Linked DNA regions of Drosophila melanogaster. The protein of the gene in region 3 interacts with the protein of the main gene of each other region in a pairwise test. Each region holds a gene or a part of one and is shown on either strand. Other genes may lie near its edges.

Evidence for each region. Proteins that work in one complex are often made in the same cells at the same time.
Region 1: the proteins of CG14118 (region 3) and pod1 interact in a two-hybrid assay, tested with the Drosophila melanogaster proteins (one large-scale study listed by BioGRID).
Region 2: the proteins of CG14118 (region 3) and CG6845 interact in a two-hybrid assay, tested with the Drosophila melanogaster proteins (one large-scale study listed by BioGRID).

The regions. Positions count from the first base shown.
Region 1 is NC_004354.4:6,799,680-6,807,927, reverse strand, and holds the start of pod1 (pod1 coronin), read right to left. Parts: upstream 4,245-8,248; 5' UTR 4,162-4,244; intron 3,833-4,161; exon of another isoform or gene 3,751-3,832; intron 2,944-3,750; exon of another isoform or gene 2,922-2,943; intron 2,801-2,921; exon of another isoform or gene 2,679-2,800; intron 2,544-2,678; exon of another isoform or gene 2,453-2,543; intron 2,251-2,452; 5' UTR 2,019-2,250; coding exon 1,710-2,018; intron 1,311-1,709; coding exon 1,124-1,310; intron 1,048-1,123; coding exon 491-1,047; intron 433-490; coding exon 280-432; intron 130-279; coding exon 1-129.
Region 2 is NT_037436.4:142,518-150,800, reverse strand, and holds CG6845 (uncharacterized protein), read right to left. Parts: upstream 4,369-8,283; 5' UTR 4,298-4,368; coding exon 4,095-4,297; intron 4,030-4,094; coding exon 3,719-4,029; exon of another isoform or gene 3,664-3,718; coding exon 3,403-3,663; intron 3,349-3,402; coding exon 3,135-3,348; exon of another isoform or gene 3,072-3,134; coding exon 2,918-3,071; intron 2,866-2,917; coding exon 2,388-2,865; intron 2,340-2,387; coding exon 2,156-2,339; intron 2,098-2,155; coding exon 1,960-2,097; intron 1,907-1,959; coding exon 1,831-1,906; 3' UTR 1,745-1,830; downstream 1-1,744. Other genes in the region: Dic61B (dynein intermediate chain at 61B), read left to right, coding at 1-452, 505-717, 783-993; Pdk1 (Phosphoinositide-dependent kinase 1), read right to left, coding at 6,981-7,286, 7,584-7,858, 7,922-8,283.
Region 3 is NT_037436.4:12,889,148-12,896,716, forward strand, and holds CG14118 (uncharacterized protein), read left to right. Parts: upstream 1-3,510; 5' UTR 3,511-3,565; coding exon 3,566-3,713; intron 3,714-4,177; coding exon 4,178-5,349; 3' UTR 5,350-5,611; downstream 5,612-7,569. Other genes in the region: CG14120 (uncharacterized protein), read left to right, coding at 1-20; CG43894 (uncharacterized protein), read left to right, coding at 1,077-1,137, 1,196-1,324, 1,393-1,910.

The DNA of each region.
Region 1 (8,248 bases), on a different chromosome or scaffold from region 3:
CGTGTTTAGCATGACAAAGTGCTCGTTATCGTTGCGCTTGGCCTGCTGATTGGGTTTCCCAGTGGTGTTGCTCTTGGCCCGCTGATTCTCCAGGTTCTTAACAAAATCACTCAGGTTACCGCGATGAATCTGCATTGATGGCCAAATTGGGTTTAAACGAAACGCCCCGGAAATGCTAACCATCGAACCCTAACTACATTAACCCATGAAGCCCTTGTCTTCCGGTTTTCAATCTTAGGATCTATAAATCGAAATATGAAAGTATAGAAGGTTACTTACAATAATTGGCTCATCGCCATGCTCACGCTTGGCGGGATCAAGGCTCATCTTGGGCACCGCCTGGTTGCTGCCATTTAGCCACTCGCCGGCCACCAGTTCTGTCTTGTAGCCAGTGGTCTCCGGATATAGATCGGCGTGGAAATCACGGTATGTCTATGAAATTTTCTTATAAGTACTTTGAGCATAAATTTGATAGTAGTTTATTACTCACCTTTCTGGGCACCTGGTACATGATGGGTATGACCATGTTGGAGGTCAATTGCAACACCCGGTTAACCTCTGCTTCCATGACTTTAAGTGCCCGCTTGGGCACGAGACAAGCTCCCTTCGTCTGCTCGCCAGTATGACGCAAGCCCTCAATCAAATACGGATCCTTGTCCGTAATCTCCAAATAGTTAATGGTTGTGTCACCCTTTCCGGCTAGGAAAAGCATATTGGTGTCGGGATCGAAGAGGGGCATCAATATGCCCGTCGAGCAGTCCAGTTCGAGAGTTTTCTCTGGAGTGTTGAAGTTGCGCACATCACGGATGATCACCTGTCGCAGGCGGGCCGCATCGAAGCCAGTGGTCAGGATGCGATGCTGATTGCCTAACCACACCACCCGCGAATCCTTGATGCTCTGATGCGATTCAGCAGTCAGCTGGATGGGTGAACCAGCGGCACGGGGATCGAAGATTCGCACATTCTTATCCTTGCAACTGGTGGCCAAAACAGAACCGTCCTCGCGCCAACTGGCCGACTGTATCACCTCGGGGTGCTCATTGTTCGCTGTAGAGAGAAAAAACATATTTAGTTAGGGTTTTATTTAAAAAAAAAAAAAAAAAAAAAGAATGTGTTTACTCACAGAATATCTCCTTTTGAGTGCTGAGATCGAAGAGAGCCACGCAGCCGGCGGCTGTGGAGTACATCAAACCATCTGCTGTTGGATGGAAGCCCACTGTCTCTACGCGTCTCTGCTTGTGTGAGAAGATTGCCTCCGGATCGGAAAGCGACTGCTCCAGACCTTTTTCCGGTATGTGCCAGATCTTGACCTGTGGATTGCAATGGTAGTGATTGATTAGCAGGGGGACTTTGTGTCATGTTGACTATCTAATTTGTGACTAATGTGATAGCGTTGCGATGAAATTATGGTTTCTGGTGAGTTATTAATATTAATAATAGCATATTATTGATTGTTCGTTCTTATCACACTCATAAACTCATTATAACATGCAACTATTTTATCTGTAGCTTCTGGTAAATAAACATTTAATGTTTGAGAAACGGAAAATACATTTTTATTAAATTAATAATATTGCAAAAATAAAACAAGAAAAAAAATATATTCTGAGTAACTCTATGGACATATCATTGGAAAGTAATGACCTAACACATAATATATTTTTGAAACATTTAGGGGTACTCCCAAATAATATTAAAGGATCTCTTACCAGGCAATCCTGCGAGGCGGTGGCCAGCAGCCCGTCGTGGAACGGGGAGAACTTAAGGTCCGTCACTGTGTCCGTGTGTCCATGGAGCAGCGGCATGGTCTTGCTCTTCCGGCCGCAGTCGTCCAGCGGGAGGACAGCGACGCTGGACCCGGTGTGCTCCCAGTTGAAGGCCATGAAGGCGCCGGAGGCGGCGATGTTGTTACCGTACGTCTGGTAGCTGCCCACGCAGATCTCGCGGACGCATGCCTCCGCCTTGGGCACAATGGGTGCGGCATTTTTGTACTTGGAAGCCTTGAATCGCCAGGCCATGGTTGGCTACTTGGTTGAGCTGGGAGGGCTTCGATCCGATGTGATGGCGATCCGATGCGGATGTGGATATGGATATGGACGTTCTCTGCTCGAGTGTAGAGAGTCGATTGTGGATTGTATATGCCCGATGCTTGATGCCTGATGGTCGAGTGTCACTAGTCCGGTGGCTCCCTCTCAGTCGCTCTCTTGCGCTTCGCTCTCCGCTCCGCTGCTCCGTTTCAGAGTTTCGTTTCTGGAAAATGGCAAAATAGCCGCATAAGTACGAGTATGATATCACTTGGGTGCGCGGGGGACATTCCACAGTTTGTTATCGTCTTGCCCGCCGCTCCTGACTCATCGTCATCCAAATCCGATAGGGCAAACAATAGCCGATAACCGAATATAAATAATAATACATTTAGCAAGTATGGATGGGGAAAAAAAGAGAGATGCACTTGCTATTGCGGCGATACGTCTATTGAAAAGAGAAAGCTGGACAAGAATGGTGTCCACCAAAGCCGGATGAGCCAGCCAGCCAACCCGACCAACACTCGCGCATTTGGCGTACGTGTTTGTTTGAGTATGTATGCGAATGTTTGTTTGTACATCATCAGGAAAGGCGAGGAAAAACACTGGGCAAAATATGATGAGTTCCGGCCGGTGGGGGTTAATTTGGCACACCTAAGGGTTAGTGATCCTCTTTTCAGCGTTATTTCTTCACTTTCTGTCAAGCTAAACATATATTTACTTAAATTTGCACTAATTTCTAATGTGTAATTTGCAAATATGAAGTACGTGTATGAACAACTGCTGAAAATGGCAACACAAACAGTATGATCCGAGCGGCGGTAAGGGTTAATATGCCACACCTAAGGGTTAACGATCCTTTTGATAAATTTCATGGAGAGTTTCACACACACATACCCTTGTACAAACACAACCAACTGGCTTGCAGTTTATGGATAAGCACAGTGAGCACTCTGTAAACTAAACATCACAGTGCAATGGCATCAATGAGCCTTTGGATCAAACAAATAAAATATTAGTTTGCGCAAAAATATATATTTTTCTACGTCTTTAGTTAGTTATTACTTTATTTTTATACTCTACTCTCTGGAGGCCGCACTGTGTAGTCTCCCGAGTGCAGTAAGCAAACGTCGAGAGAGCGAGAGCGGGAGGGAGAGAGCATGCGCCAATTCAACTGTTTCTGTTTGTTAGAAAGCGGCAAAACAAATGACCACTGGGGGTAAAAGGAGGTGCGGCTGGGGGACGGCCAAGCAGGTATTGGCCAGCGGAGCCACCAGGTAATGGGGTCAAGTGATTTAGAAAAGCAAAATCAAAGGCAATATAACGAGGTGATGTTGCAAAGTGAGAGCGAGACGGGCACAGGTGCAACCTGCAGGAGAGCTCAGCGGCTAACGGTTAACGGATGACAGCGGGCGGCGTGGGAGAGCACGAGCATCTGCATCCCTATCTCTCTCTTTCGCTTGGTTGGGGGTGGCTAGAAACAAGCCGGCTAGCATTTTTGTTGTTTTCACCCACTGCCCACTAAACACACACACACACATTTGCACTTCTGGTGGTTGGTTTTTGGTCACTTTGTTGTTCTTGTTGTTGCTGCTTATATGCATTTATTGACATTTTCACAAGTTTTCCATCCTATATTTTGCATACATTGCATTTGATTATTGGTTGTTACTTTCTAGTTTGCGTGCCATTCAATGAAAAGAGGGGTGAATTTATTTTTATATACTTCTTTTTTCGCTTTTCCTTCGTTTCCTTTTCCTTATTTTTTGCAGCACACACCCTGGCGCCGGCAGAAGAAGAAGAGGAAGAATCCAAAGCGGCGGCAATGACAATGACAACTACAAATGCAACAACAAAGGGTGCGCGCGGGGGTGGAGTGGGGAGCAGTAGCCGGAGAGGGGGTGGTGCAACTACACCAACAAAAACTGCGCAAAGGCGACGCCGCTTCTTTTTTTATGGGCAAACAAAGGAGCAGTTTTGCACACACACACACTCAGACGCACACTTGAGTTGCAGTGCTGCAACTGCACACCCACGCAAACATACACACGGGAGGAAAAACACGGCGATTAGGCTCACACACACGCGCCGGTGATTATTCTCCCGCTTGTAATTACAAATATTGCAATTAAATTACCAATGCAATCAATAAACTACGCGAGAGATCTTCAACTTTTTTTCAAACGTTTTGTCATCGTCTATCGATAGTTTCCATCTCCGCGTGCTAGAGGTGGCACCCATACATCGCCACAGCGCTATCGACAGAGCTATCGATTGCGATCTAATCGTCACTTTCTTCGTCACTATTTTCACATTGTTTGGGAAGCATTTTAGCAGCACTGCGCGACGGTCACCGCATTTTGTTGTTGTGTTGCGCGTTTAAAATTGTATTGTTATTTTTTATATTTTCTTTTTTTTGGACCGAATGAGAGCCGGCCAAAAGTGCAGTGCGAGTGCGATTGAATTTAAGTGAATACAAAGTGCGGATCGCAACACAACTTTATAAATATATGTACATATATGTGTAGTTAGAGCGAGACGGGGCGAAATATCAAATAAAAATACTGTACTGTGTGTGTGAGCAAATACTAATACTACTCAAGCGGAGAACGATGAAAATGTGCGTGTGAGAGGAAAAGAGAATTTAGTGTTTTTTATATTATTTACTGGCCTGCGGCTATGAGCAAAAAGAACCGAATATCATTGCGGAAAAAGGAGAATGAAAATTGCCAAGAGGGAAATCTGTGAATCCTGGCGGAAACACACGGCCTCATCATGAATATACTGCAGAAAATCGGTCAGTATTTCGCTCTTAAGCGCTCTCTTCGTTTTTTTTTTGGCGACTCCTTGGCTTTTCCTTCCAATTTCCACACAGTTTACCGTTTGCATTCGCCTCCATCGTTTACACACATTCCTCCGCCTCCGCCTCCGTCTCTGCCCTTCACCATCCTCTTGATCCTATTGCCACTATCCCTGTACTGCTCACAAAACCCGCGCCCCTTTATCCAGCAACGCCCCCGCCTTTCATTGTTGTTGTTCGTGTTGTTGCTGCTGCTGCTGCTCGTTTTGGGAGCTGTCAACAAGTCTATTTTTAGACTTTTAGATGCTGCAGTTGCATTTGCCTCTCTTCCAGAAGTGTTAAACATTGAAAGAACAACTCCAGAAGCGAACGCAAACATTTTCGTTTTCCTTTCCATTTCCTCTTCCTATTTTCATTTCGTCCCTCGCACCTCCGCTGCGCTCCCACACACACGAACACACACTCTCGTCTTTTTTTTCCTCTAAAATTCTTCCTAAATTTATATGGTTTGAAACCTGGATAAAAAGGCTGTCATCCTAATTGGAATTTATCCTCTTGTCGTCTTTACTCCATTTGTATAAACCATAGAATTTCACTCTGCATCCCATATGGAAGGAAGCTCCTTGAATATTTCCCGGAACTCTCCGATTGCATTTGACCTTTGTTTATCTGTAGAATTTTGTTTAATTAAATCATTCCGAAAATCCTTATTGACTAGAGTTTTTGAGGCACATCACTCATATACATATGTACATATATATATTTAAATCGCATTAAACATTTCTCGGAAATCCTGAACCGAATTTGGCCTCTGCAAACGTTATCCCTAACATTTTCCGCACAATTTGTGGGGCTTAGCAGAAAAGTAGGCAAGGATTTTACACAACGTTTTACTAGATTAAAAAAATCGAAATATTTTTCTTTTAACTAATAATATCCTACGCTTTAAAACCATATTAGTAAGTAAGTTCATATCCCCTCTCGATGAAAGGAAATTGGGCAAATGTGCGGTTTCCATGGAAATACGCTCTGCTGACTATATTTATGCACTTTCTGCCCACATATGAGAAGCACTAATTTTTGATTTAACTCTAATCACACACACACACATTACTTAATACCTGCGAATGGTTGTTTTCGTGTGGTATTTGGTATTTGATTTACCATTTTCTGTCTATTATTATCCTGTTGATTCCGACTAAACGCCAAGGATTTTGATTACCTGGAAAATGCACTTGCTCTAGGAACAAGAGTTTAGAACGCTGCGAAAGTGGGTGGTTAGAGGAATTGTGTGAAAATGCATATTAATCCTTTGCCCCGCTGACCCCATTGTCCACCCTCGTTTTAATTAATTCCGTGAAAACACAATTCCTGCTGCCTGGTGTCCATTTATAATTGCACTTTTGTTTGACCCAGCATTATCCTGTTGATTCCGGTTCTGGTTCCATGCAACGACGCCAGCTTTTAGCTTATAATTAATGAGCAGAGCTCCGATTTCAAGGGAAATGCATTGAAACTTGTTGCTGCCCCAAGAATTTGCCATTGAAGGATTTTCCATTCGCCTTCAATTGAATTTCGCCAGCCAGTTAAGCTGCCTTAAGACTTCTAAGCAAGTATCTCAAACATCTACACAATTTTCTATCTAGCTTCGCATTTAATTTGTACTTTCTGTGTGGATTTCATTGTTTTGGCACCACTTTTGTCGCCCACTTTGCATGACCACTAACCAACTTGAATTTTTGGCTGGAAAACATTAAATTTTAGACAACGTCTGTCATTCTTTCATGTGCTCAGCTCATTCGGTGTTTACCTTTTTTTAGCGAGTGCAAATTTAAAGAGTCGCCAGCTGACTTGAATGTTTCCATTAGCCTGATAAGAGTCACTCACGCTGATAACAGTCACAAGCTGTCACACTCGCGTACATCTGAATAGCAGCAGTCGACAGTTTACTGAACTCGCAACGAATAGTGCAGGTTATCATAACTAAAAAAAAAAAAGAAGTCACAATGTATTGTTATAGTAGTGGCTTTACTAAGTTAGGCGCATGCTATAATATATAATATATAGTACTATATAGTTGTGCAAGTTCACAAAGGCAGCAGGTGGGGCGGGGAAAGTAGCTAGACTGTCAGATCTGTCGCTCTGCTAAGCGCTCTGCCCAGTGGCCCCGCGATTAGATTGTAAAAGTTGTGCGCTCGCAGCTCATCGCTTTACCCCGCGTACCGCTCACCGCTCACCGCTCACCTCTCGCCGCTTACCGCTCGCTGGTGCGGTATAGTATTGTATTGTATGGTATGGTATGGTAGGTTGACTCGGTTTCGTTGGTTAGTTGGATTGCTTTGAGTTGGGTTGCTTCGAATTGGGTGGCTCGGCTCAGCTCAGCTCGGCCGGTCAGTCGCACGCGAAATTTTCACAACAACGGTGTTGTTTGCCATCCGTCTCCGTTTACCGCACGGCAACACATCGCACAAATCGAGCCAAGTTGAATATAAATGCTCAAGTTGAGAATAAATACGCGTTGTTGAATAGCTCGTGATTTGCAGGCAGTGTGTGTGATATCATATAGAGGGGCGATCCCCGAAATCATTTTCCTATTTAAGTTCTATTTTCGTTTGTGTTCGATTTTTTTTTTTTGTTTTCGGGTACCAGTGATCGGGGATCGAAGAGCAATCGATGCGGGGCACAAATTGAGTTGGAGTCGTTGATGCGTTTGCTCCAATTCCCGCGCCCCAAACAAATCAGCTAAACAATAGCAAAAGGCCGTCGTTTGTTTTTTTTTGTTTATATATACGTAGTGGTTATATAGTGTGTATATATATATATATTCCCATCGATTTCCGCCCATCGACATAATGCGCGTTCTCAACACGGAGCTGCGCCTGCGCTTCAAAAATCGCAAACCGCGACCCTTTAATCGCGCTGCCAGTGCCGATGATGCGATGGATTTGGGATCGGGAGTGGGAGTGGGCACTGGCATCGCGAATGGAGCCGGTATCGGTGTGGGGGCCACGATAATGCCCCTCGATCAGCGACTGAATGGAGCCACCAGTATGAGTACGTATCGTATGAAACATATGCCGTGTAATTAGGATTAATGTGACAAGATCATAGTTTAGGCCACCAAGGAAAATAGCACAATATATTCACAACTTATGACTTGTAAATTCAGTCGACTTTGTCTGGCAAACAATTGTACTGCCACCCAGAGCAGCTTAATTATGTTTGCAGATAGTAAAGTTAAACAAGGTGTTAACTAATAACTCGCAAATATTGCAGAACTGTTGTGGCACGTTATCTGGCTTTACAAGTGGTTGGACAACTAGATAGGTGTCATCAACACATAACCAATTTAAAAACTGGGATTTCACTCTAAGCAACTTAATTTATCATTGCTCTTATCGATGTGATAGCTCTGACGGCAAAT
Region 2 (8,283 bases), about 13 Mb from region 3:
CGCAGCACTTCGCCAGGCTCCTCGCCGGTGGTTGCCATCCGCTGGATCAAACAAGTTTCAGACGACGATCATGAAACAGACATCGATCCATTCCTGAGCCTCTCCCAGGATGGCTCGGTCACCCGCTTCCGGATTATCAAAAGTCCCTTCCTGCTTGGTTTTACCCAAATGATTCTGGAGCGAGTCGAGGGGCATCCTGAGGGCATTTTCGTTCACCCATCGTCGCGTATCCCCTGCGAGTCTAACCGCCACCCGCAAGGCTTAAGCATCACTACACATCCTCTGCACAAGGACATTTACTACGTGCTGACAGATGAGGGCTGCATCCACAAGTGCTCAATCAATTATCAGCATCAGTACTTGGAAGTCCTGCGTTGTCACGACGGGGGTGTCACCGTAATGGAGTTCTCGCCTTGGTCTCCCAAACTCTTCCTCACCTGCGGCAACGATTGGTAGGAAGTGGCCCTCTATCAAGGGTAGCTAAAGATAGTATCTATTCTGCAGGTTCGTACGCATTTGGGTCGATGGCATCACGCGACCTCTTCTCGAACTGCTAGACGAGATGACCCCAGTGCATTGGGCCAAGTGGAGCCCCACCCACTCTACGATTATTGTGACGGTGAACCGGGAAACCGCTAACGTCTGGGACTTTCGCCGAAATTTGCTAAGACCCATGTCCAAGCACAAGATGGACTCTTCTTTTAATACTGTGGCCAGGTAAGCTTTTATTGCTTTCCGCAAAAATGGCCAATTGAATAGGAATTTCCTTTACCAATTCTTAGGTTTTCCCACTGTGGTCGCACATTGGTTATTGGCAACGAGCGCGGGAACACGCTCTTCAACGCCCTGAACGACATGCCCTTTTCGCCACACTTCCAATACGACGAGTTAGAGAAAGCCATTTTCAAGGCAATTGGCAACGACCACGAGCTTCTTATGGAGCTTAAAAGCATTGGTTTCTTTGGGTACCCAAACAAAAAAGCAGTTTTTTAGATAGGAAAAATGGTATTCTCAATAAAACAAAATAATTCGTCGGCCTGAAAGCGAATCTGGATGGCACTGATGAAATGTTCACGCATCAGCTATCTAAGAGACACAACGGCGATCGATCGAGTGTCAAACAAAACTACCCAATAGTAACTTGATATCATCCGAACGGACCGGGCATTACCTTGCACAAGCACAAAAATCCGTTCGAAAAGATGAGCTCCATTGTTTTTCGAGTGTGTGTGGTTGACTGTCAACGATGGTGGTCAAGTGGATAGGGGTCGATATAGGGTCTAGAGGGATCGGTGCAAGTCGACGGGTGTTATATAATAAATGCTCGTATAAGCTTGGTAAATGGAAGCCGCATGTGGGGGAAGAGCAGAATTTATTAAACAGTCGTAAAGAGAAAGTCAACAATAATGAGAAGATGTTCAACAGCACGTTACAGTCATAGCCCAAGAAGAAATAAAAATAGGTATCAAGCAAACAAGCCTTTGATAAAAAAGAAAAAATCGAAAACAGGGGTGAGAACAAGGTTATTTTCTGAATTGCTGTGTAGCCATTTGTCGCTGTAGTATTTAATTAAATAATAATTTCAGCCCAGAAGCTCGCCAAACAACGCAGTCCCCGTATTGCGACTTCCATGGGCGGTGAAGGGTAGGAATTGCACTGACATCAGATCAGCAATAACAAGAGTTATTTTTATTGAATAACTCACCTATAACCATATATTAAATTGTTGGAATATCAGGTATTTAATAGGTGGAAATATTATATTTCTGAGCTATCTGCATAACGTGTATGCGCTCACAACCTCTATGTTTAACTGTTTTTCCCTCGTTGCTAGCGTTGTCCTCCACAGGTCTTCCTGTACTGCCTTTCGCTAAAAGACTCTTTTTCAGAATAGTCCGAAGAGTCGCTGCACAAACAAAACCATTAAGAATAGTCGATTAAACCCTGGTTTTTACTCACTCTACTTCAGTAACGTCGGAAAAATCACCATAATCCACTGGTCGATTGCACAGACAACACTTATTGTGTGACTTTTCAAAGCATTTACCGCAATAAACCCCTTTGCATCCAGGAGTGTCGCAGGGGTTACGATTTGAACTAAAAAGGGGACATCCAACTGTAACCCGGAGTGTGTTTAACGATTGGAGTTACTTACAGAGTCAGAGATCGGCCACATATGGTGCACCTCTCAGTGCTTTGACAGGATGAGCAGCAGGAGCACATGCACATTAAACAGGAGAATCTATTGTTCAGCCAAGTGTAGTTTCTGGTGTGCTTCACATTCCGTGTGTGGTTAAACTCATTACGCTTTCTGCGGCGGATAAACTTAAAAATGCTTGCTGGAGAGAATACATTAGAACAACTTTAAAAGGTATGTACTTTCTTACTTCTATCTTCGGAAATCATGTTGTACAGAAACATGCCTCTTTCCTTGGCGCGTTTTGGATAAAAGTGGGCCATTATAAGATGGCGAGTACGCAAAATATACGGCTCGGCCAAAAGGATCAGCCAAGCGAGCAGACAGAGTAATAATATAATTAGATACTCCGCATAATCAGGTTTCACGGGCAGCGGGAGGCAAGGATTCACGTCTAAAATGCTTTTTTGCGTCAAGGGTCGAAAGGCATTAGCGATTCCCCGCATGACATCCGCCACAAAGCCCCCACCCTTAATCTCTAGATCGACGTAAGCGGGCACCTCCAGCCCAGTCTCTTGGTGGCCATGGAGGGATATAGTTGCCAACAGCCAGAACAGCCCGTAATCCAGAAAGCAAATCGCAAACAACTGCAAGCAGGTTGTGGCCATGAAACAGGCGTTCTCAACAATGGACACGAACTCAAACAAAGTCAAACGCAAGCTAGTAAGCTGCAATGAAATCATTGTAATATTATGTCAGGGAAACGTAGGGAAACCTTACCTTCATATACTTTGCCCTTTCAAGCTGATGAAGGGGTAGCAGTGGATCGTAACCGTGCTTTTCGTGCCGCCGGTCGATATCACTTAGTATCTTTGTCAAGAACACATTCTGAAATTGCCGGCTGTGCATATATCGAAGGTAGAAGATGGTGGCTCTGATGGGAACAATTGAGGCATCACCAACACTAAATTAATAAGATGATTAAGCTCTTGCCTACTTAAAAAATACAGTAACCACCATGACCCAGCAGAGAATGTCCACAAAGCTGCTCAAGAAGATAAACGACGACAGACGCTTGTTAATATCCTGTAAAATTTCCTCCCCCACGTCCGTCAGGCTCTTTGAAGAGTTTGTATCGAAGAAAAATTCGTGCTCAAAAGTGATATTGGCATCAAACATTTCCTCGATGTGCCGCACAAATTCACGGTAGCCTGCGAGATCGTATAACTAATAACCAAAGTACCGATCGTTGTTTACACTCTCACGTTCTGCGATTTTATCAAGAAGACCCCAGCTGAGATCCCAGTAACCGCTGCAAAACACATCGATGATCTTGGCTGGATAGCAGAGGGCCAGAAACAGCTTTGCAGCATGGCATAGCGCCTTGAATACGCCCATCTTTGACTGGCACCTGATCATTGCGTGATGCGCCGTCTTTTTGCAACGTGCCCAGGGAGTGCCCATTTCTGTGTTGCACAGGTCTACGATGGATTTCAGCCAAGCGGCGCAGTTCTTCAGGGTTTTAACTACAAAAATGAATCAGCAGAGAAAACTGCAGCACTTTTTAATACAGATACTCACTAATTGCGATCAATTGGTCCTGAATGCGTAACAGCACTACCATGGCCAGCTTGAGCACCCGACGCACTTCCCGCATCAAGAGATCCACCGCTAGCTGGATGGCATTCACCGGCTCCAGTATTACGTCCAACATCTGGCCAAGCGCCTGACGCAATAGCTCCTGTCCGCAAGCGAGGCTGCGGAGCATCACCTTCAAATTGGCTAGAATGTTCGCCGTAGGCCCAACTGCGGCAATAACAAAGGCAAGGCTGATGAGGAACGCCCTTCCCCGAGAGCTGCACAGCGAGGGAAGGGCCAAAGTCACAATGCACCTGGCAGCCAGTGAGGGAACACTGTTAGACACAAATCGTTTTGGGCTTTTTCAGGTAGTTCTTACCTTACGGGCCTGCTGTAAAAGACCGCCAGAACAAGCGCCACCGGAATCGCGAAGGTGAGATTAAGACCCAGAACCAAGTGGCCCAGCTGCCACCAGTTCCATGCGAGCGTTACCGCGAGGCCGCATAGGTAGCCGCCAATTACGTATGGTGCCACCAGCTTGAATGTCCACATAGCGCCATACCTTGGCTGACTTTCTTCCATGATTTTATTTTGATCGATTTCTTTGTAATTTATTTGTAAAGTCTAACACAACAGTCGGAATCGATATCGATATTTTCTCTTGGCGCCCCACTTAGTGTGACCAATTTAAATGTGAGTTTTCATTGTTATCGGAAATGTGACCCTTCTTAAAATCGAAAAGCCTATTGTTTGTTGTTTTTGGCTTATCCGATTCATTTTTGGCGCCCAAAAAGAATTTAAAACTTAACCGATTGCTTTTTCTGTTTTTCGCTTTTTTGTTCCTTTATTTCAAACAACATCATTTTTTCTCTTTCAAAATAACAGTTATTTTTGATTTATATATCTTATAAAGTTACGTCGTGTGATCTAAGCGAGTTTCGGATTTGAAATGCGTAAAACGCATCGCTGCATTCAAATCCAATATTAATACTATTCAACGAATCTATTTATTATAATATAATGAATAATAAAATAAAAATTATAAAAACATAAACATAAAATAAAATTATATGTAACTAAATAATAAGAAAATAAACAAAAAAATAATTTTTATTAATATTTTTCTCAAAATGATCAAGTTATTTTGGAGCTTCAGGTTTTTATACAATTATGATAAAAATAAATATATTAAATACTCGTACTGAAAGAATTCGCATACACTTGCCCCTGGTAAAATTGGAATACTTATTGATTAAAACATATGATGATTTTAGTATTCCACTAATCGTCCTACAGGTTTACCTATGCACTTTTCGATTTTATGGGTCTTTCCGTTATCTCCTCTTTTTTCTTTTTTCCTGTAGGCTATAAAAGGTAAAAAAGGCTTCTGGATTTGAAGCGCAATGCATTTGCAATTATTTTAATTAGGGCAAGCCCTTTTTGGATTGCAGAAATAGAGCTGTCTTTCTATATCTTAGCCCTGTTCACTGTACTCTTTCTTCGATTTTAGGTACTGCAGCACAAGCGTAGGGTAGAACAAAGTAGTCAGGTCGTTTTATGTGTATCTTACGTAGATTTTGAAACCTATTGAAATGTTGTATCATTTTGCAACGTTGGATACTGGGATACGCGCACTTATTACCCAATCAGTTAGATATTGCCAATTGTAATAACCAAACGAACCAAAATAAAAACAAATTTTATCGTAATTTTGTTACTTTGAAATGTTTTTGTATTTTTCTTTAATTTTTCCTGTTAATGATACGTTCCTTTCGCTCGATTATCTTTTTTTGTTTTACTCGTAATATATTTTTTATTTTTACATGCTTCTCTTTTTTGACATTCTTGTTCTGGTACTCATATATAGATAATATATAATTTGTTTAAATATTTATTTTACAGATTTCTCTCACTATCAGTGGCTCTCCGTTCTATGACATCGTTTAATAAATCGTAATTTTCGTTTAATTTAATTAATTGTATACTTATGTGTGTTGTTGCATATTGCGTTAATTTTAATTTACTTAGGTCGCCAAAAATAATTTACTTAAAAGTAACAAAAAATTAAATTATGTTTAGATGTATATCGACCAACGGCGATATGTATGTACAAAATGTATTTTTTGCTTTCTTTCAACTTCGACTCCTTACTCTACACCTCTGCTCATCACTTAATTACTGTAGCTTAAAGGTAAATATGGGAGGGGATGGGCGCGTTCTAGTAGTAGCAGTGGTAGCAACTTAGACATTTACAACATTTAACTAATTTGTTTCAAGAAACTTTGCAGTCTGTCTTACATCTATTACATATATCTTTGTATAAGACTTGTTTTACACACATTCAATTGGAGTCAGTTGGAGAGACAACGACCGCCAATCTTGACAATCTTTGAACGACTGTTGAGTTTTTAGTGGTAGCCCTTACAAAATAAAAATATAATTTAAAATTCGTTCTTTTATTAGGGTAGCTCAAGTCTTATACATTTCATTATAGGGCAAATAGGTAAACGAAAAGCATAATGAGAATGATAAATAATGATAATTAGCGTTAAACTGTATATTAGAATTACCTAAACAGTTGAGCGTGAAGCTGGAAAAACACCGATTTTGTGACATCGATGGTTTTCCGGCTCATTCCCATCTCCTTCCCCACGACTTAGGGTCTTTTTGCCGTGTGCATATAGCTCACATAGTTCTGTACATAGTTACACTGTTTACAAAATTTATATTAACATATATGTGATCTTCCCACGATAACAGAAACAAAAATTATTTCTCCGACGTACATACACATATTATGTATATTACAGTTTCCAGATAATTTCCTAGTATTATACCATTTAAATACGGATTTTAGTTTGCTTCACGAAATTACTTTTAATTTAAGCCTACAATGCCACCTTGCCTCCGTGTGTAATTCATTTCAATTGCGACTAACTACGCGCTAAATACGAATATATTTGTATTTATGTATGCTGTATATAAATATTTAATTTAAATTTTAAATTGAATTTACTTAGTCGTTATAGATGTATTTTACTTTAGATAAGTTTATTCTAGTGTTATATTTTCGCCCTAAGCACAATACAAATCGGAAAACAGAAATTTGGTTCTAATTAGCACTAGAGACACGATCATTATTTCCCCTTCATCACTTACTTCTACTTCTAAGCTTACTTCTATTCCCGCCCTCTTCTACGCCATCGCTTCGTTTGCACTAAATTTCAACTAAATTAATTTCACATTGCTATAAATAGGACTACGTTTACTTAGACGCCGTCTTCTTGCTAGGTGACGTCCCCGTTCTGGTGCTACCCAATGTCCGGTTGTCAGACGCCGTCGAAGCTTGAGGAGCGTTTACGGGGGAACTGCGTTTCACCGTGGGCGAATTGCTTGAGGAGGCGGCGGATGAATTTGAGATGACAGCCAGGCTATTACTGCTGCCGCTGGAGCAGGACACTGCAGATGTGGAGGAGGGATCTCCGTAGGCCAACTTGCGCATGTTCTCAATAGCTTCCGACCAGTGGATAGCATAGCCTTCGGGATCATCCAGGTAATAGGTTCGATTTGGCTGCAATGAAACCAAAAGAGTAAAATTAGTTGAGCGCAACGCTAATTTTAAACCCATTCACCAAACAAGTTTGAGTTTTTATCTGCCTTGCGTGTGCAGTTTTCAATGCCGCATTTAATTTGCTTTCATAGCCAACACGTGCCCGGGACATAAACTAACGCTCAAATTGCTTTTCAGTAGGCGTGTGACTGGCTACGAACTATAAGCTGTGATGTCATCGGTTCAACAAACTTATGCTTTCTCGGTTTTCCGAGTTGCGCCTCGTGCATCCTTATCCCACCATAGGTAAACACTTACCGTATGGACAAAAAAAATTTTGAAGTTTTTGTACTCCGCTCGGAGATCTGGGCTCCACGGAATTTCTCCTTTTTTGATCATCTGCACGGGATCGATATAGATGAGTCGCGGTCCCGTGGTCAGAAGGAGCATTCGCTTGCGGGCAAACAGACCCTTGCGCTTGTTGACAAACCCCTTCTTGAGGATCACTTCGCCGTCGGCAAAAACGTGCCACTTGTCAGTCTTTTGTTGCTCGAGACGCTGCAGCTTCTCGGCATCGTTCAGGTCGAAAGAGTCTGAAGAAAAACAATACATTCATTAGCCAACGTATTTTTCTGGGGCACCACGTGGACACTTACTCTTTGCGGTCGATCGCTTGACGGGCATGGCCACGCTGCTGCCAACGCCTAATTCTGCACTAAGCAGTCGCGATATCTGCCGTTCGTCAAGGCCAGGCTCCAAATCCCCGGGCACAGTATAGCTGGACCTGAAGTCCTCATCCTGACTTACGCCCGGTAAGTATGGGTAGATGGGGGGAGGGGTTTGTTGACGGAGCGTCTGCCAGTCAATGCCGGCGAAGAATGGGTGCGCCCGAATGGATTCGTAATATCCAAACTCGTCCTGAGCACCCAGGCGGTCTCGCGGATCGACACGGAGCAGCTTGCGCACCAGGTCCTCGGCGTCCTTATCAAAGCCTTGCGGGAAGTCCACGGCGCAGTCA
Region 3 (7,569 bases):
ATGGAGTCCTGGGTGTTTAATATCAGATTTTGTGGGTGTGCAATTTCCAAAAAAAAAAACGAATTTCTTAATTTAAAACCAATAAAAAGACTATCTTAAAGAAAACAGGTTTTTATTGAAGGGTAGCCCTTAGGAAAATGCTTAAAGGCACGTTTAAATTAAGTTCTCATGGGCCATAAAACAGTGAAATCACGTTTAGCTTTTGTTCTCTTTGGAGTTTATTGCATGTTGGACATATTGATAAGAGTAAGGTTATCAAATGCTTGACGTTATCGTTTATGGCCGGGGTAGAGCTATTTATTTACCCAGCCATTGGATTATTTGCTCACGTGCCGCACGTTTCCAAAAGCCTTAATTTTTTCTGCTGTTCCAGTAGCCCAAGAGGCAGTCCCTTGGCCCGAATCGAAGTCCCAATGGCAGTGACTTTCACATTTTCTTATCGAAGCTAAGGAAATACCTTGTATTACTTGTGCGGTTCCCTTTGTTTATCTTATCGCAACACAATCGTCGCAGAACGTATGAAGTATACGCCTGCTTGGTTAATAATTATAATGGACTTTTTAGGGGGTAAACAAAAGGCAAAAACCGTAAATGAAGCAGATAGAAACCAAAATTGATTTATATTGGTCGAGTAATCATTCACTTAGAATTGTTGCGGATTCAACAATGCGGTTAAACTTCGTTTTAATTAATCAGTAATATCTATCAAGGCTGAAAGTGTGTGTTATTTTGTTAAGCAATGTTTATTTACCCCTGTTCAAGGCGTAGTTCAGAGACCGTTTAATAGATAGTTCTATTCGGCTAACCTACTGCTGAAATATTTAGGCAGTAACTTATTAATCGTGTAAGTTTTAATGTACTGCATTTAAACAGCCATACAAAAATATTCAATTAGCGCTGTTTAATGAACTTTTATTTATGTTAGAAAGAGTCAGAACAATAATCATCATATTTCGGTGATTTAATTTTGCAAATAATCATTACCGCAACTCATCAACCATGAAATATCAAAATGATATAAATATGAGGGATTTAGGGAAATGAATTTAGTTAGTTTCGGAATTTTACAAGAGAAAATGGAACTTGTTGGTATATATTTGATATTAGCCACGACGATTGTTGTCCAAGGATACAGAAGTAAGTCAGCGAACAGGATAAGGGATAAAATCTAAAAAATTCCCCACTATCAATACAGAATTTGGACTTAGTTGTGAGGATATTGCCTGTATATCTGGTAAAAAATGCATTGTATCCAGAGTTCCCTGCGAAAACCCAAATCAGCAAGAAGGAGAACAATGTGGAACCTATCCGGAGTGCCAATCAGGTTCGTAAAATTTTGTTTTTTCATCGGTTCACACTGAAATCTGGTCCTTTTCAACTGATCCGTTTCAGATCAGCTGGCCAGCGATTTCATCATCGACACTACACAGACCACTGCCAACACCCGAAACAGCATCATCATACCCAGCACTTCCACGAGTCGCAATCGGAATAATAGGAACAGTGACTTTAAACTGCTGAGCGATTTCAGTAACTCCGATACATTTGCCACCCATGCAGGCCAACGGCAGGCTAATGTTTTGGTTATTGTTCAAGATGGTTCCCAGCAACCTCAACAGCCAAATCCTTGGCTAAATCGAGGACAAAGTCCTCCCTGTACCATCAGTCCGCTCTACCCATATTCCTGTACTTATCCCCGTTATCCGAATTCGGGAGCAGGATTGCCTTCTTATACGCAGCAGCGATCGGCCAATGGGCCACAATTAGTTCCTCCCACTCCACCATGCTACTATAACTGCTATCCCAGTGTGCGGTCAAGTTCATATGGTCAATATGGATACCCCCTGTCTAGATCAGCCAATCCCTCATCAACCAATAACTATTTAATCTACCTCACATTAGCTGGCTAAAAGACCAGGAGCTTTAGTTATGTGCAAATAATAAATATAGAATCTATTATCAACCTTTTTTTTTCGTTTCTATATCTTCGCCAGTTTTGCACCGTTTCCGGCGAACGCCACAAATGCCTTATCAGCCTGTGGGGATGCCAGCTTCAATGCCACCCGGGTATCCACCACCTCGCCCACCGTTTCAAATGCAGCAGCCGCGTCAAGTTGCACCACAATATGTGATTCCACCTCAGCCCAACCCACAGTACGCAATTCAATACCAGGCCAACCGGCAATATGCCATGCAAGGACAACCCAATTCGGCCAATCCTTGGCTCCACTTCTCAGTAGGGATGTCCTATCCAACGTATATGAACTATAATGGACGTTCCGCTGGGAACTCACTTCCATCATTTTACAATCCGTACCCACCCAGTTATAGTACCTATAATTACAATATTAACTTACCCTTTTCGGGTGGATCTTCCTAAGATCTTCGATACTGGTTAAAAAAAATTCAAAGCTACTCAGCACCGGATGGACTCCTTCCGAACATTATTTCATTACTTTCAAATTTGTCGTTCCTAAAATTAATAGCTAATACATATATTTGTCAGCTTCTCTGGGGGAAACGATGACGGATTCCGAAATGGATTCTGATGCAACACTACCACAATTTCACAATCGATCGGCACGTCAGATTCCAATGCGTCCCATGCCAGGACCAATGCCAATGCCAGGAGCGCTGCCGTATCCTGGTCCTGTTTCAATGAATGTACCATCTCCGGGGCGTGCGTATTATCCCTCGTATATGGGACAACCTTATATGGGACAACCGTACATGCCAGGTGCCATGCCCATGATGCCAATGATGCCCCAGGGAGGTGGAACTATGGGTGGTACCAGCATAATTGTGGAGCCCTTAATAATCCTGCCAATGGGCATTGGGGCAGGCACGGGTACGGGCGTGAATCCAAATTCATATTATGGATCGAATGGAGCTTATCCCACGTATAACAATTACAATCCCTACAATACGTACACTACTGCACGACCCAGCTACGACTATAACAATTATAACAACAACAATAATAACAATAACAACGATTACAACTCATATGGTTAGATTTCAATTAAATGATCCCCGAAATCTACATGATCATTATTCATTTACAAATGAATCGAAAGCTGTCCAGGTATGAATATATTGTGTACATACATTGTTTGCCAGGTCATTTAACAATAGATTATTTTCGATTATTAAATAAGAAAAATGTCAAATATAATTGACGATTAATCTTGAATAAAATTATTGAGATACATCATTCGCGAGATAAATCACTTTTTGTTTTAGCTCTGTAAAGAAAGGGGATCGACAAAAGCAAAGAACTTAATGCGACCTAGACCTAAATACACATACATATGTATAAAGGTATATAGATAGAAAGAACTCGGAAGTACTCAAAAAATGCAAACAATCCAATGGTATTATATCTTTATTCTCAGAGAGATTACAAGACAAAGAAGCAAAACGAAAGAGAGAGCGAGAGAGAGAGAGAGATGTAAGATACAAGAGCACGAACTGAGAATATAAATAAAAACACCTGTTCACCAAACAAATAATTCAGTCGGCGGTTAGATAGCAACTTAACCGGTCGAGTTGAGTTTCCAACAAAATGATGCTTCAGTTTATCGGCCTAATTTTGGCGGTCGTGATTCTGCGAGAGATTCGGGCACGTGAGGCGATCGCAACCATTCCAGATGTGGGTCAGATAATCAAAGATCTCGATGGACTGCACATCGATGGAGAAATGTTTCATCAAGGTATGTGGTCGCCTAAAAGTTAATAACCATACGTTTATCCAAAGCAGACTGAGCTTTGTTTGAGTAGTTTGACTGTAGTGGTCACATTCGGAATGAAATATATGTACATTTTGGAATGCAAAAAGGTCTGATGTTTGTTTTTCTTAAAAAAAACTATATTGTAGAAACAATAACCTTATTTACACATAAAAGTCACCTGCTTCAACAAAGTAAAATACATAGCACCAAAGGGCTGGAAAATAAATTAGTCTTAAAATTGGTTAAAATTCAAAATAAGAAAGACTTAAATATTTAAAAATATATATATGAATATAAAATTATTATATTACAATTGTTATATATATATTGTTCGTATATATAATAATATTATTGTGTTGTAAAATATTTAATCTTTATGTCATCGCCTAAAATTATGCCAAGAATTTTTAGCCACATCTTTTAACACACCTAACTTCCCATTTTAGGTTCTCCCTGCAGAGTGGATGTGCAAAATGATCTGCCCCGTTTGGATAAAGTGCAGCCGCTGTACCTGCGCCCAGGAACAGATCTCTACTGGCTGCCCAATGCTTATGGGCACCTGGAGGTTCAACGCGGCGCCAGCATCGAGCTGCACTGCAGCCATTCGTTCGCGCCCGCGAATGGAGAGTCTTTGGATGCGAAGCTGCGTTCCATTCGGGTGAAGTGCGTGCAGGACACCACCTTCGAGTGGATGGGGGCTAAAATCCATTTCAGCGACTTTGTCTGCAATCACTCCATGCCCTACACCGTGGAGCGATTGGACAGGAGTTGTGGCAGCGACACTCCGAGTCCATCCACCTCGTACTTGTATCGCGTGGGCTATGACACCGGAGATGGCAGATTTGTGGCCACCATGGAGCTGTGCCACGACCCAAATCAACTGCGCACCCACTACGCCCACCATCAACTGACACCGGCGAATGTGCACTTCCAGAAAAAATTGAAACGCCCGAGGTTTAGCACCGCCGGCCATTTCACGGGCTTTGACATGGCCAGAATTTATTCGCCCAAGAGCCAGGAGAAACTGATGGTGCCCGGCCTCATTGACGTGAAGAGTGGTCTGTTCCTGGCCCGCGGACATTTGACGGCCAAAGCGGATCTAATCTATGCTAGCCAACAGAAGAGCAGCTTCAACTACATGAACGTGGCGCCGCAATGGCAGAGCTTCAATGGTGGTCAGTGGTCCAAGCTGGAGGAATCCACCCGACAATATGTGGCCCGTTCGGGCATCACGGCCACTGTGTATACGGGCATCTATGGCGAAATGAAGGTGGCTGGCAGCAAAGTCCTCCACATGACCACCAATGCCAATAACATAGGTGTGGTGGCCGTGCCCCAGCTCTTCTATCGCGTCCTCATCGACGAGGGCCATCCGACCCGCGGAATCGCTTTGGTGGGTGTGAATAACCCACATGCCACCCTGGCCCAGATCCACGAGTCCTATATCATCTGCGATCCAGTGGAGGAGTCGGTGCAGTGGCTTAGCTGGCTGCACAAAAGCAACGCCAAGGGTAACCTGAAGAATGGCTATCTGTATGCCTGTTCGGTGGCGAATTTGGCCCGGGCTGTCGGACATTTGCCACGCCCACTTCTCGAAGTGGATGAGCTGCTCACTTAGATGTGGGCGGTGGCGGTTCGATTGCCCGTACTTTTAAGTGAGTGCAATAAAGACTGAGTGAGTTGTGTGACACAACTGCAGTTTGGTATTAGTGAAAATCACGTCACAACACTGCAACGAATGTGCAAACCCTTGAAAACAATTTTGCAGAAATGCATTACTGTATAAATATATATACATATATTTCCTTTGAGCTATTAAGAATAATTCATGATTATCTGGTACAAAAAAAAAAACATAAACATCATAAATCTTGGAATTTAAATAAATCTTTAAAGAAAAGGTCTGCAGATTTTGTCAACCTAACAAGTTAATTTCCATGAAGGAGTCGTCCTTGCCCATTCTTTTGCCAACCATCTGTGCCCATTCTTTTGCCAACCATCTGTGCCAGTTTCGTGTGTGTGCTCAGATTATTAACGCTCGTGTGGGCTTCACGCCATCAAAATCAAATGGGACATCGTGTGTGGTCATGTCGGGGGCGGGGCCACGCCCACGTTGGTGCCTCGAATCGGGAAATGCTATACACTCGTTATGCGATTGCCTTGTTGGCGAGGGCGCAAAATCGCTGGAAGAAATGGGGATATCAAATACGGCTCGGCTGCATTACCTTCATGCCGTTCACAAAACACAATTTGTTCCACAACATTGATTTAATCCTTTTTCTTCTGCGCCACGCACACACACACACACACACACACACACACACACATACACGGGAAATACAAACAACGCAACGCACATAAAATGGCTGTCGTGAAGAATTTTCTTAAATTTTCCGCTGGCTTTTTCATGGCATTTCCCGTCGTGGAGCTATGTCCTTGGCATTATCATGAATATTTGCCCCCTCTATTCAGTGCTTTCGATACATTTCCATTTGCTGATTTGAAGCGCACTTTCCACTTTTCCACACCCCAGCTCCTTGCCGCCTTTCCGTTTTTCCGATTTTCCGTTTTCCGCTCGCTTAGGTCGGTGCCGGTGTATTCGAAATGGGGCAAGCCGAAATTATGTTTTTATGCTTCCTTGTGCGGTAAGCAATATTTGCTCAAGTATCCCTCACAGACTGTTGGACAGTAATCATCAAATGGGGCACAAAGAGTTGGGAAATTTGTGGTTCGTGTTTCAAGAAAACGAGGCGGAAAAACTAATGAAGGGTTAATAAAAAAACTATATCGTATAGATTTTATTTCATTTATTAAATAATTTAATATGACTAAGAGTATAGCACAAGTTGGTTTGTTAGATAGTTAAGCTAGAAATGTAATTATTTAAAAAGTCGAATATAATTAAAACAAATCATCAAACAAGCTTCTTTGACATAACACGAGTTTGGAAAACTTATGCAACAAAAGTTTTAATAATCAGTTGATGGAACATAAATTGAAAAAATAAATCAACGAAATACGTAAAAAGGTAACCAATTAAAAACTGATTTCTATGCAAATGAATTCTTCCGACAAGAAACAATATAACTTTCAACTTGCCTCACATTCCCTGGAAATTAAATGTTTTTTTTTTTTTGTTCTGTTTGCCTAGCTGAAAGGCACTTGTAGCAATCGTATACCGCTTAAGGACATGAAATGGAGTGCAGTACAAGGTCCGAAGTCCAGACGACTTTCCTTAGTGGCCATAACATTTTTCCTTAAAATTGGTTACAAAAACAAGGAATACAACAAATTGCTTCGTTGTTGTTTGTCTTGTTTCTTTCGCAGACTTGATGAAAGTTTATCTGCTCCATGGAAATTGTGAGGTCAGTGGCCAAAAGGAGCAGCAGCAAGGATACCACCGACCAACCGAAAAAAAGTCAAATAATTGAACGCACTTCGCGCAGATGTTGTCGGGATTCTTTTTTATGTCATTGCTGGCAGAAGGATATGTTGTGTTGTGCGGCCGCCAGCGGAAATTATAATTTATATTTGGGTTTTCGCTCGGCCTCTGTGTGTATTTTAATATCGCCACCTCTTGTTTGGAGGCCAGCTCCAGTGGGCCTTGTTTTTTATTTTGATTAAAATGCATATTAAATATTTGGCAAACAAACAAAAAAAGAAAACGTACTATAAAACCAACTGAAATGTATCAAATAAAATGATATATATAAAAAAAAACAGTGCAGAATACATAAAAAATATAATATAAATAATTTCCTGCTACCGCCTGAATTTATTTCCCGCTGTGGGTCCTGCTTCCTTCCGTCCTGGCGATAAACTATATACATACGCACCC